Linked DNA regions of Macaca mulatta. The protein of the gene in region 1 binds, or shares a complex with, the protein of each later gene. Links are inferred from orthologs where the notes say so. Each region holds a gene or a part of one and is shown in the gene's direction. Other genes may lie near its edges. The genes, in order: CAB39, STRADA and STK11.

What was found.
Region 2: the proteins of CAB39 (region 1) and STRADA are in contact, whole or in part, in a crystal structure (PDB 3GNI), measured with the Homo sapiens proteins. The link is inferred for Macaca mulatta from reciprocal best matches to the Homo sapiens genes CAB39 and STRADA. Residues at the interface, in NP_001124321.1 of Homo sapiens: Leu26, Glu27, Lys28, Gln29, Tyr55, Gly56, Thr57, Asn58, Ala85, Asp86, Gln88, Leu89, Phe92, Glu93, Lys96, Arg107, Glu138, Leu141, Ile145, Ser176, Thr177, Phe178, Asp179, Ser182, Asp183, Glu221, Asn222, Tyr223, Val224, Arg227; in NP_001003787.1 of Homo sapiens: Pro64, Leu104, Glu105, Cys107, Ser108, Asn109, Val112, Gln116, Leu119, His120, Lys123, Leu124, Phe125, Asn126, Thr136, Phe137, Ile138, Asp140, Asn141, Leu143, Tyr185, Met189, His223, Gly224, Arg226, Val426, Asp427, Asp428, Trp429, Glu430.
Region 3: the proteins of CAB39 (region 1) and STK11 are in contact, whole or in part, in a crystal structure (PDB 2WTK), measured with the Homo sapiens proteins. The link is inferred for Macaca mulatta from reciprocal best matches to the Homo sapiens genes CAB39 and STK11. Residues at the interface, in NP_001124321.1 of Homo sapiens: Gln109, Gly111, Thr112, Lys196, Leu197, Leu238, Asp239, Arg240, His241, Phe243, Met246, Ile250, Val280, Ala283, Asn284, Pro285, Glu317, Gln318; in NP_000446.1 of Homo sapiens: Gln100, Arg103, Arg104, Glu165, His168, Ser169, Gly171, Leu201, His202, Pro203, Phe204, Ala205, Ala206, Asp207, Asp208, Phe234, Arg301, Ser307, Arg310, Lys311, Lys312.

Annotation. Positions count from the first base shown.
Region 1 is NC_133417.1:135,971,904-135,975,641, forward strand, and holds the start of CAB39 (calcium-binding protein 39), read left to right. Parts: upstream 1-816; 5' UTR 817-1,015; exon of another isoform or gene 1,016-1,586; intron 1,587-3,738. UniProt on the Homo sapiens protein: Component of a complex that binds and activates STK11/LKB1. In the complex, required to stabilize the interaction between CAB39/MO25 (CAB39/MO25alpha or CAB39L/MO25beta) and STK11/LKB1.
Region 2 is NC_133421.1:73,534,954-73,538,695, reverse strand, and holds the start of STRADA (STE20-related kinase adapter protein alpha), read left to right. Parts: upstream 1-1,016; 5' UTR 1,017-1,341; intron 1,342-1,532; exon of another isoform or gene 1,533-1,830; intron 1,831-2,604; exon of another isoform or gene 2,605-2,697; intron 2,698-3,742. UniProt on the Homo sapiens protein: Pseudokinase which, in complex with CAB39/MO25 (CAB39/MO25alpha or CAB39L/MO25beta), binds to and activates STK11/LKB1.
Region 3 is NC_133424.1:1,890,376-1,894,017, forward strand, and holds part of STK11 (serine/threonine-protein kinase STK11), read left to right. Parts: intron 1-555; coding exon 556-645; intron 646-1,901; coding exon 1,902-2,034; intron 2,035-2,109; coding exon 2,110-2,246; intron 2,247-2,741; coding exon 2,742-2,869; intron 2,870-3,463; coding exon 3,464-3,521; intron 3,522-3,642. UniProt on the Homo sapiens protein: Tumor suppressor serine/threonine-protein kinase that controls the activity of AMP-activated protein kinase (AMPK) family members, thereby playing a role in various processes such as cell metabolism, cell polarity, apoptosis and DNA damage response.

The DNA of each region.
Region 1 (3,738 bases):
CATATGGCATTTGTATGTGCCGGGCTCCATTGTCAGAGCTTTGCAATGCACTGTCCCGTTCATCCTCAGAAGCCCGTGGCTGGTACCACTATATTATTATATACCTCTTTTTTTTCTAACGTGTGAGGAAATCCAGGCACAAGGATGTGAAACAGCCCATAGATAGCAAATGGTGGAGCAGGATGTAAATCCAGGTTGCTGATTTAAATAGGAATGTTCCCATTAATCTGGAACGTTCCGGCACTTTCTATGCTGTGTGCCCCTGGAAGCTAAAATGAAGTGATCTGCTCCTCGCAAGCAAGAAAGAATCGGTCTGCACAAAGTGGGATCCAGGCCTTTCGCAGAATTAAGCCTGAAGAGTTGAGGAAGTGGTCGTTCAAAGTGGGCGTGCGATTCCCGCTGGAAGAGCGCTCAGGCGGAACAGAAGGGGATGAGCCCCGCCTTGGAAGCTGCGGCGGAGGAAGAGGAACTGCGGGGGTTGACTTGTGCTTTTCTCTGCGGCCCCTCCCGTTCGGGCCTCGCGCCAACTCGCGGCGCCCTGAGTCCGCCAGCCGCTCGGGGGCGCCCAAGGCGGAAGGGGGCGTTGCGGCGCCGCCCGTCGTCGCGTCCTCGGCGGCTGCGCAGTGCGCACGTCAAAGCCGGGCTCGGGCCGCGGGCTGGGCGAGGGGATCGTGGAGCGGCGCGGCCTGGGAGACACAGAACCTTCAGGCGCCGGGGCGGGGGCACAGACGAAGACTAAGGCGGCGCCGGGCCCCACAGCAGCAGCGGCAACCCAAGTGAACGCAGCAGCGCGGCGGCAGCCGCGGGAGCCCCTGGGCCGCCGTCCGCCCGCGCAGCCGCCGCCGCCGCCGCCGCGGGAGCCCGTCGCCGGGAGCAGGAACGGGCGGAAGACAACGGAGGGGCCGAGCGTCCGAGCCACGCCGCGGGGACCGAACGAGCAGCCCGAGGCGGCGGCGGCCGAGGACGGCGACGGCGACGACGCGGAGGCAGAGAAGGGAACGCCTGGCCCAGCCCCGTGAGTGACCCCCGGCCCGGCCCTGCTCGTGGTGCGGCGGCTGCCCGGCTTCCGCCTGTCCCGCCGGGCCCTCACCGGCCCCGGGGTTGCCTCCATTTTCTTGGGTGGCGGCGGCCCCGGCCCAGCTGGGCCCCGGAGCCAGCGGGAGCAGCCGGGCCCGGCCTGCCCTCTCCTCCCGGCTCGGCCCCAGCCCTCGCTGAGACGCTCCCTTTGCCTTCGCCGGCGTGGGGCTCCCGGGGGCCTGCGGTCCAGGCGCTCCTGCCGCCCCCTCCGTGGTTCTCAGGCGGGGCTGGCGGCTCGGGGTGATCCGGGCCGGAGTCGGGAGGGCGGGGAAGTGCGGACCGGGTCAACTGTCACCGGCTGCACCCGGACTCCGGCGCCTCGCTCCCGCCCCTGGTAAACTTCCTGTTGTCGGGAGGCAGATACCAGCGTTGTGATCAATTCAGGAAAATGCCTAACTGATTTCTGGTTAGGAATTGTGCGGTCGGAGCGTTCTCGAGTTCAGTGGAATCACCCGGAGCGCAGACTGCGTGCAGGCGCCGTAGTCGACCCGCGCCGGAGGGATTCAAAGGTGAAGCGGGCCCCGGTCCCCTCCCCCGAGGAGCTTAGGCTCTGGTGTGGGAGATAAGACGAGTACACAAATAACTGCGATACCGGGAAGGAGGTGATAAGTCCTGTGAAAGAACGACAGAGTGCTGGAAGGGCACCCGGAAAAACCGAACCGATCACTTCTGCCTAGCAGAAACCTGGAAGGCGTCCTGGGCGGGGGGTGCTGAGCAGAGTCTTGAAGGCCTGATGGGATTTAGGAGAGGAGGGTTGCAGAAGAGATGTGTGGAAGGGGCAGCAAAAACGAGAAGACAAAGCCTGGAAATCATGGATAATTCCGTTTGTTGGCGTGGTGCAGGGGGCGGGGGGTATGGGGCTAAAGAGGTATTTTGGGGCCAGATCCTTGAATGCTGTAGAGGAGCTATTTGAGCAGCGTTCTGAGAGAAACTTAGAGCTCATTTCTCAGTGACTCATGAGCCCGGAAATGTAGGCTAGGGGATATTAAAGGCGCTCTTGTGAAAGAAGAGAGAAGGAGGCCCAGTCAGGAGTTGACATTCTGTGCCTTGAATATAATGCAGTTTCAGATCGATTTTGACAGCTTCCCAGATATTCAAGTAAATCCATGCCCAAGCTAAGCAAAGTACCTTTGCAGAAAGCTTCATTAGATGTCAGGCTCTTAAGAGGTAATGAAAAGGTGTATATAAAATAAGCTCATCTGCACACAGAAGGTGTTTCTGTTTGTGCGTTCGCTAAAATGCATAAAAACTTATTGCACTTTGTATTAGGCGTCTGTACTTTGGAATTACTAAGTTAAACCTACATTCTTTGAGGTGGCATTTGTGTAAAAGAACAAATTGACGATTTTTTAAAAATAGTTACTAATATTCTGTAGAAAACCGGACGTAGACCTTTTTGTAGAAAGGTAAAACTTTGTTTTTATTTTTATTTTATTGCGAGATCTTTATAGTAGAGCCAGAAGTGAAAGTGTTTAGCTTTATTTTGTAGTTTCTTCAAATTGCTAGGAAGTAATCAGCAGCTGTATTTGAAATCTAGAATATACAATCTGTGAAAGCAGCTTAGGGCCTAAGTTTTGTAAGCATTCAAATGCCACCTTTTTGCAGTTTAAAAATTTTCTACGTTTCAAAATAATACATGATCTTTGTCAAAGCTTGCAAAATTCAGGGATTACTAGAAAATCTTTATAACATTTTCTATAATCTTACCACTTAGATTTGGTTACTGTTAACATTTTCGCGTATTTTCTTTCCAGTCTTTTTCTGTGTATTTTTTCTCTGCATAATGAAATATATTGTATGCATATGTATACACACACATATCCCTAAGCTTTTCTTATCATTAAATATCTTTAGATAAAAAATTTTTACTCAGGAATGGAAATCTTTTAAGCGTGTTATGTTTTCCTGACAAGGTTGTATTATTTACGTCAGATGAAATGCAGTAGTTACGCTTAATAACTACTAGTGTGGACAGAACTTTTTCTAAAAGCTTCTTGTTTCAAGTACATTTATTACTTTCTCTGTAAGACTTGGATCCTCTTGCTTGTTGAATAAAGTTTTTATTGGCAGCATGTGTGTTGTCATGAGGTATGGAAGAGGAAGAAAGCACACAGATCTCTGCTATAGGAGTGAATGGACTTCTAAAAGGATGCTGTCAAAAGATTATGATCATGGCTGGTATACCATCCCCCACAGACGGCGATGCAGTGTCCCTTCCTACCTCCCACTTCGCTCCTGAAAAATAGTCTCTACACTAGGGCCATCCATATAGGGTAACTATTTTTTGACCATGATAACACGAAGATTCAGGCTGGATATCAGCATAGAATATTTCATGAAATGGTTTGATACTATAACAAATGGGTGGTATTTGCTTTCTTGGTTTTGGTTTTTGAGACAGGTTCTCTGTTGCTCAGGCTGAAGTGCAGTGGTGCGAACACGGCTCACTGCAACCTCAACCTCCTAGGCTCAAGCCATCCTCCAACTTCAGCCTCCCGTAGATGGGACCACAAGCTTGTACCATCACATCCAGCTAATTTTTGTATTTTTATAGAGACCGGATCTTGCCATGTTGCCCAGACTGGTCTTGAACTGCTGGGATCAAGTAATCCTCTCCCAAAGTGCACGGATTACGGGTGTGAGCGTCCAAGCCCGCCTGAA
Region 2 (3,742 bases), on another chromosome or scaffold:
CAAAGTGATGTGGCTCAGGCCTGTAATCCCAGCACTTTGGGAGGCCAAGGCTGGTGGATCACCTGAGGTCAGGATTTCAAGACCAGCCTGACCAATATGGTGAAACCTCATCTCTGCCAAAAATACAAAAATCAGCTGGGCATGGTGGCATGCGCCTGTAGTCCCAGCGACTTTGGAGGCTGAGAATTGCTTGAGCCCAGGAGGCAGAGTTTGCAGTGAGCCCAGATCACGTCACTGCATTCCAGTCTGGGCGACAGAGCGATACTCCATCCCCCCACCACCAAAAAAAAAAAAAAAAAGGTGATATATGTAAGATCAAATGAGACTTCATGTGCATACAGGTCCCACAATTCCAGGGGCATATTTTTCTTTTTCTCTTTTTTTTTTTTTTTTTTTTTTTTTTTTTGAGGCGGAGTCTCACTGTCGCCCAGGCTGGAGTGTAGTGGCAAGATCTCTGCTCACTGCAAGCTCCGCCTCCCAGGTTCAGGCCATTCTCCTGCCTCAGCCTCCTGAGTAGCTGGAACTACAGGCGCCCGCCACCACGCCCGGCTAATTTTTTTGTATTTTTAGTAGAGACGGGGTTTCACCGTGTTAGCCAGGATGGTCTTGATCTCCTGACCTCGTGATCCACCCGCCTCGGCCTCCCAAAGTGCTGGGATTACAGGCGTGAGCCACCGCGCCCGGCCTTCCAGGAGCATATTTCTATCAGTCCCTATTTGGATGTAGCTAAACTTCCCCAGTCTTGGAAGTTAGGACAGTCTAAATCTGTGTTAAGGCTCAGAGCTGCGAAGAGCGAGTGTTCATTACCTGATGGTATATATCCGCGTTTTGGACACCCTCTCCTGCGCACGCGGGGTTAAGTAAGTCACTGAAAAACCTAGTCTCACAGGAGTGGGGCTTAGTCCATCACTTCCTCATTTCTCAAGCTCTGCATAACCTGGCTTGGACAAACCTGATAGGTTTCCACAAACGGCTTCAGCTGTGGATGAGGAAGGCTTCCGGGGTGGGGGCAAGATACAGAGGGGACAAGATGATCGTTTTCATTAGTTGAGCTATTTTCCTCGTTTTACAAATAGTGGGGAGCAAAGAACGGATAGACTTCCCCCTTTGCAGCTTGTTGTCTGGTGCCCGAAAGGCCAAAGTGAGGGGCATTTGAGAAAAGTGCGAGGCAGGTTTTCCCATAGAAGTCCTACCACATGAAATGAGAAAAAAACAATTCCCAGGAACAGCCAAGTTTGCCTTTCTCTGGTCTTTCATTGTTGAAGCCACCTGCTTCCCCCTCCTGCTGCGGCGGCGGAGGCTCTAGGCGGAAGCGCCGCGCGACGGAAAAGACCACCAGAGGTGAGAACTCTCAGCGCTACAGCTGCTGAGGCCGGCGGCACCCGGGGCCCCTCGGAAGGGCGGGGCTTCCCCGCAGGGAGGGGAGGGGAGGGGAGGGGAGGGGCGCTCTATCCGCCCTCCCGGTCGCCCGACTGCGCATGGCACGTTGCGTACTCCCCTCCCAGCAACCGGCCTGGCGGCGGCGCGGCCGTAAAACTGAGGAGGCGGAGCCAAGACGGTCGGGGCTACTTGCTAACTCCAGGAACAGGTACCTGCCTGGCGGGGTGCCTGGTGAGCCGCCGGGGCCAGTCCCTCCTCGCTCTGCCACCGATTCCATCTCCCCAGGCCCGGGCCTTCGTCGGAGCGGCCATCCCGGGCTCACCCTCACCCTCCACGGGCCCCCTTTTTAACCCGCGTCCTCGACTCCCGCAATGAGGCGCCGCAGCCCGAGAGCAGAATAGGTTTGGGCCTGGCGGGGAGACGCTGAAGCGGAGTTCCCGGGCGAGAGAGGCGAGCTCCTGCTTTCCCCTTCCTCCCCACCCCCCAGGGCTTCCAGGTGGGGAACCTAGGGCTGGGTGCCGGTTTGTCCTGCTCAGGCAGAGTGGTGGCCGACTCCGGTGCTGAACTCCCCGCTCTCCCCAGCCGCCGCGCACCCCGGGCTGACAGGCAGCAGGTCAAGTCCTCGTAAGGACACAAGATACAGATGGCTCCCAGAATCGGCCTAAACGAAGAGCTCATTGTCTTTTTGTTTTCCAAAAATGTTTTTTGAGTGACTGCAGGGGATATGGGCGCCGGAGATGGGGGTTGGGGGTTGAGGGTTGGGGGTAAGGAAGAGAGTTCGAGGGAAGGGCATTGGGTAGGTAAAATTGTTCATAGCTCTCAGGAAATAGGGAACTAACCTCTCTGCCCAGCCTTCTCCTGTATCCTAACATACTTTAACTTGACTTTCCTCGAAGAAAAAGCCGTTGGAATCTGCCCTTTTCTTATTGTAATATCTGTTCAAGTAGAAGCATGTTCCAATACGTATATGCGACGTTAAGACAATTCTTCATTGACACTCATACCTTTCTGAAGACACCCAGGACTGTTTCTTGTCTCTGAGAGTTAAGGAAGAAACCAAATTTGATCACCGGCCTAGAAGCCTGTGAATTCAGCCTTTAGGTATAGTGCTAAACTGGTCAAATCTGTCCCCTACTTTTTAATCAGATTTCTTAGAGGTGTTTTGGCTGGAATGCAGTGTTTATGGTTGTGGCCCCAGAAATGGAGGAAGTTTACTCTGGTTTTTAGAGCACAGGCTTTGGAACAGATTTAATTAGTCCCTACCACTTACCTGTGTGACTTTGGGCATTTAACCTCCCTGCACCTTAATTTCCTGACCTGTAAAACAGAGATGATAATACTTGTGAGCTGCTCATGAAGCATTTAGCACAGTGCCTGACACGTAGAAAGTTTGCCATAAATGTTTGCTGGGTTTATTATTTTCTCTCTTGATTTTTATTTTATTTTTTGAAATGGAGTTTCGCCCTTGTGGCCCAGGCTGGAATGCAATGGCTCCATCTCCGCTCACTGCAACCTCAGCCTCCTGGGTACAAGCAGTTCTCCTGCCTCAGCCTCCCGAGTAGCTGGCATTACAGGCACCCCTCACCACACCCGGTTAATTTTTGTATTTTCAGTAGAGACGGGGTTTCACCGTGTTGGTCAGGCCGGTCTCGAACTCCTGACCTCAGGTGATCCACTAGCCTCGGGCTCCCAAAGTGCTGGGATTACAGGCTGAGCCACCGCGTCCCGCCAATAAAGCTGTTTCTATATCTGTCCACTAGTAATATTGCTTTGTTGTGTGTGTGTGTGTATGCACACACACACATATATAGTGTTAAATTATAGTGTTAAATGTTTCTGATAGTCTGGGTGCTGTGGCCCACCTCTGTAATCCCAGCACTTTGAGAGACTGAGGCAATAGGATTGCTTGAGCTCCGGAGTTTGAAACCAGCCAGGGCAACATAGCAAGGCCTCATCTCTACTGAAAATTTAAAAAAATTAGCCGAGCTTGGTGGCGCGTACCTGTAGTCCTAGCTACTTGGGGGGCTAAGGTGGGAGGATCACTTGAGCCCAAGAGTTTAAGGCTGCAATGAACTATGATAGTACCACTGCACTCCAGCCTGTGCAACAGAGCAGGACCTTGTCTGCAAAAAATATATATACACACATACATATATGTGTACATATATATTATACAATATGTATATATGTACATATATAATATACATATTAATACATATATGTTGCATATGTGATATATACATAATATATTATGTATACATATATGTATACATTATATAACATAATGTGCATATATAATATATGCATAATATATACACCTACATATGTATTTATTCATTCTTGATAAGTGTGGATATATCTT
Region 3 (3,642 bases), on another chromosome or scaffold:
GGTCTGCCTGAGGCAGGCCACGCAGGCTGAATGTTGTGGGCCATTTTGGTCGTGGCTGAGCGTGTCCTTGTGTCATCGGTAGACTCCCCCCATGGGTCTTACGGGCACAGCTTCCCTACGGGGACTTTGCTTGAGGCCCTGTGCCCAGAGCAAGAGCAGAAGTGGTCCTGAGGCTGGGGCTGTGTTCAGAGTCACGCAGTCAGGGGCCGTGGGCCCCATCCTGTGTGGACCCGAGCCTGCTTGTGGGGGCGTCCAGGAGGTATCATCCCCCGCCCATGGGCGGGGTGGGGGACGTGAGTCCCGCAGGAACACTGCCCCAAGAGTCAGCCCTGTCCTCCACTCCCATGGAGGCTCCTTCCTCCCAGACGCTGGGGCCTTTTCAGAGGGGTGTGAGGGCAGGGTGGGCCCTGGTCCGAGGAGGGGCAGGGTGGGCCCTGGTCCGAGGAGGGGCAGAGTGGTTGCGGAGGGTCCCTCCAGAACCCCTTCTCTGGCCCCTGTGCTCTCCGGGCCTGTGAGTGGGGCCGCCCCCTGAGCTGTGTGTCCTTAGCATCCCACGTATATGGTGATGGAGTACTGCGTGTGTGGCATGCAGGAGATGCTGGACAGCGTGCCAGAGAAGCGTTTCCCGGTGTGCCAGGCCCACGGGTGTGTGCGCGGGGCAGGGGCTGGGGTGAAGCAGGGGCTGGGGGCCGGGCAGGGCAGGCTCCTTTCCCTGTGGCCACACGGCTTGTCCTGATCTTCATTGACATGAAGGCCCAAGTTTTTTATTTTTTTTGTTTTATTTTTTTTGAGACGGAGTCTCGCGCTCTGTCGCCCAGGCTGGAGTGCAGTGGCCGGATCTCAGCCCACTGCAAGCTCCGCCTCCCAGGTTTACGCCATTCTCCTACCTCAGCCTCCTGAGTAGCTGGGACTACAGGCGCCCGCCACCTCGCCCGGCTAGTTTTTTTGTATTTTTTAGTAGAGACGGGGTTTCACCGTGTTAGCCAGGATGGTCTCGATCTCCTGACCTTGTGATCCGCCCGTCTCGGCCTCCCAAAGTGCTGGGATTACAGGCTTGAGCCACCGCGCCCGGCCTTTTTTTTTTTTTTTTTTTTTGAGACGGAGTCTCACTCTGTCGCCCAGACTGGAGTGCAGTGGTGCGATCTCTGCTCACTGCCAGCTCCGCCTCCCTGGTTCACACCATTCACCTGCCTCAGCCTCCCGAGTAGCTGGGACCATGGTGCCCGCCACCACGACTGGCTAATTTTTTGTATTTTTAGTAGAGATGGGGTTTCACCGTGTTAGCCAGGATGGTCTCGATCTCCTGACCTCATGGTCCACCCGCCTTGGCCTCCCAAAGTGCTGGGATTACAGGCGTGAGCCACCACGCCCCGCCCTGTGAAGGCCCAAGTTTTTAAAAACAGTTTTGGGGACTCCTGTGTGTGGTATCCACGGGCAGGGCTGCTGTCAACCTCCTGCCTCCATCTTTGCTGGGCCTGCTGCCTGAGGCCGGCAGCTCACCCCATCCCGTCCCAGCAGCCACCTGCCCCGACCGGACCTCCTGGTACAGATCTGTTGGCTGCAGAGTCAGGGCCCCTTGCTGCTGCAGGACTGCAGGGGCAGGGAGGGGCCTGCTGTTTCAGCAAGCCTTTGGGGTGCAGCCGGCCTGTGGCCCACAGGGAAATGAGACCTGTGGACATCCGGGGCCCTGCCAGACGTGACTCGGCCGGATGAGGGTGGTCACTGCAGGCGCAGGCCTGGCTCCCTACTGGACCCAGCTTTTCCTCTGTCCTGTGTGCCTGGACCTCCGTGACTCCCCAGCTGGGCCTGTGGTGGTTGGGAGGCTCCCAGGCGGCTGCAAAGGGGACCCCTGTGAGGAACAGGGAGGCCTCGGTCCCAAGACAGGTGTGTGCTGCCCGCAGGTACTTCTGTCAGCTGATTGACGGCCTGGAGTACCTGCACAGCCAGGGCATCGTGCACAAGGACATCAAGCCCGGGAACCTGCTGCTCACCACCGGGGGCACCCTCAAAATTTCCGACCTGGGCGTGGCCGAGGTAGGCACGTGCTAGGGGGGGCCCTGGGGCGCCCCCTCCCGGGCACTCCCTGAGGGCTGCACGGCACTGCCACAGGCACTGCACCCGTTCGCGGCGGACGACACCTGCCGGACCAGCCAGGGCTCCCCGGCTTTCCAGCCACCCGAGATTGCCAACGGCCTGGACACCTTCTCCGGCTTCAAGGTGGACATCTGGTCAGCTGGGGTCACCCTGTAAGTGCCCCGGCCCCGCCCCGGCACTCGCCACACGCACAGCCCGGAGGGGCCTCTGCATCTTGGGCAGCTTCTGGCCTGTGGGTGCAGGGCGTAGCCACCAGCCTAGACCCTCGCTGACCACAGCCACTGGGGGTGCTTACTTTATGGAGACGTAGCTCACACGGCAGATGGTGGTTCACCCATGTGACATGCAGCCTAGCCTGTCAGGGATCTTCACAGAGTGTCACAACCAATCCTCCTCTCAGAGCCCCACAGGAAAGCTGGGCGGGTGAGAGTGGCTCCAGGCCCCTCCCCGGGTGGGTCCAGAGGACGCTCCTCTCTTGCCCCATGGCTTCCACTAGTGGGAGGCGGTGAAGACAGAGGTGTCCTTGAGTCCGCAGGGCCTGTGGTCCAGCAGCCACGCGAGGGCTCCGTCCCTGGGGCAGAGGTGGGGCTCCCGGGGCGTCGACCACCTTGACTGACCACACCTTTCTTCCCTCCCCTCGAATGAAGCTACAACATCACCACGGGTCTGTACCCCTTCGAAGGGGACAACATCTACAAGCTGTTTGAGAACATTGGGAAGGGGAGCTACGCCATCCCGGGTGACTGTGGCCCCCCGCTCTCCGACCTGCTGAAAGGTGGGGGCCTCGTCCCTCTGCCCACAGCCCCAGGGAGGCGGGGCTTTTGTGCAGAAATGCAGGGTGGGGGGTGTTAGGTGGGGGGCTATTGGCCCTGAGACCCCTGCAGGCACTGAGAGGACTGAGCGGAGAGGCCGGCCTCCCACTAGGGCCTGGTTTGTGGGTCCCTCAGCTCCACCCTGCTTCTGGGCCCTGTTCACCTTTCAACTCCCACCCCTGAGGGCAGTGCTGCCCTGCGCCTCCCCCAGCCCCGCCCTCGGGGGCTCCCTGGCCTGTGTCAGGCTCGTCCTGCTGCACTTCCTGTGTGTGGGCAGCAGGTGGCACTGGCCGTCTGTCCGTCTGCCCAGTGGCCTTGGGAGAATGGAACTGCCCTGCCTGTCCAGCCCAGCCCTGTCTCCCAGGCAGGCACGCAGAGGCTGTCCCTGGCCTGTCCCCTGGAGTCGCCTCTGTCAGGGAGGCCATCTCAAGGGGGCCCCCCTTGGGAGCATCCAGGTATCACCTGGGGCCTGACAACAGAGGCTGGTCAGGTGGGGATGATTGGTGGGGTCTCGGGCCTGTGCCTGGCTGACTGGCTCCTCGCCGGCTTCTCCTCAGGGATGCTTGAGTACGAGCCGGCCAAGAGGTTCTCCATCCGGCAGATCCGGCAGCACAGGTGAGCGGCCCCTGGGGGCAGTGGGGCCAAGACCACAGGGAGGCTGGCCACGTGTGCAGCTGGTTGAGTGGGCACCAGAGCAGGGCATGGTGGGGGTGCTGGGCTGGGGCCAGACCCCGTG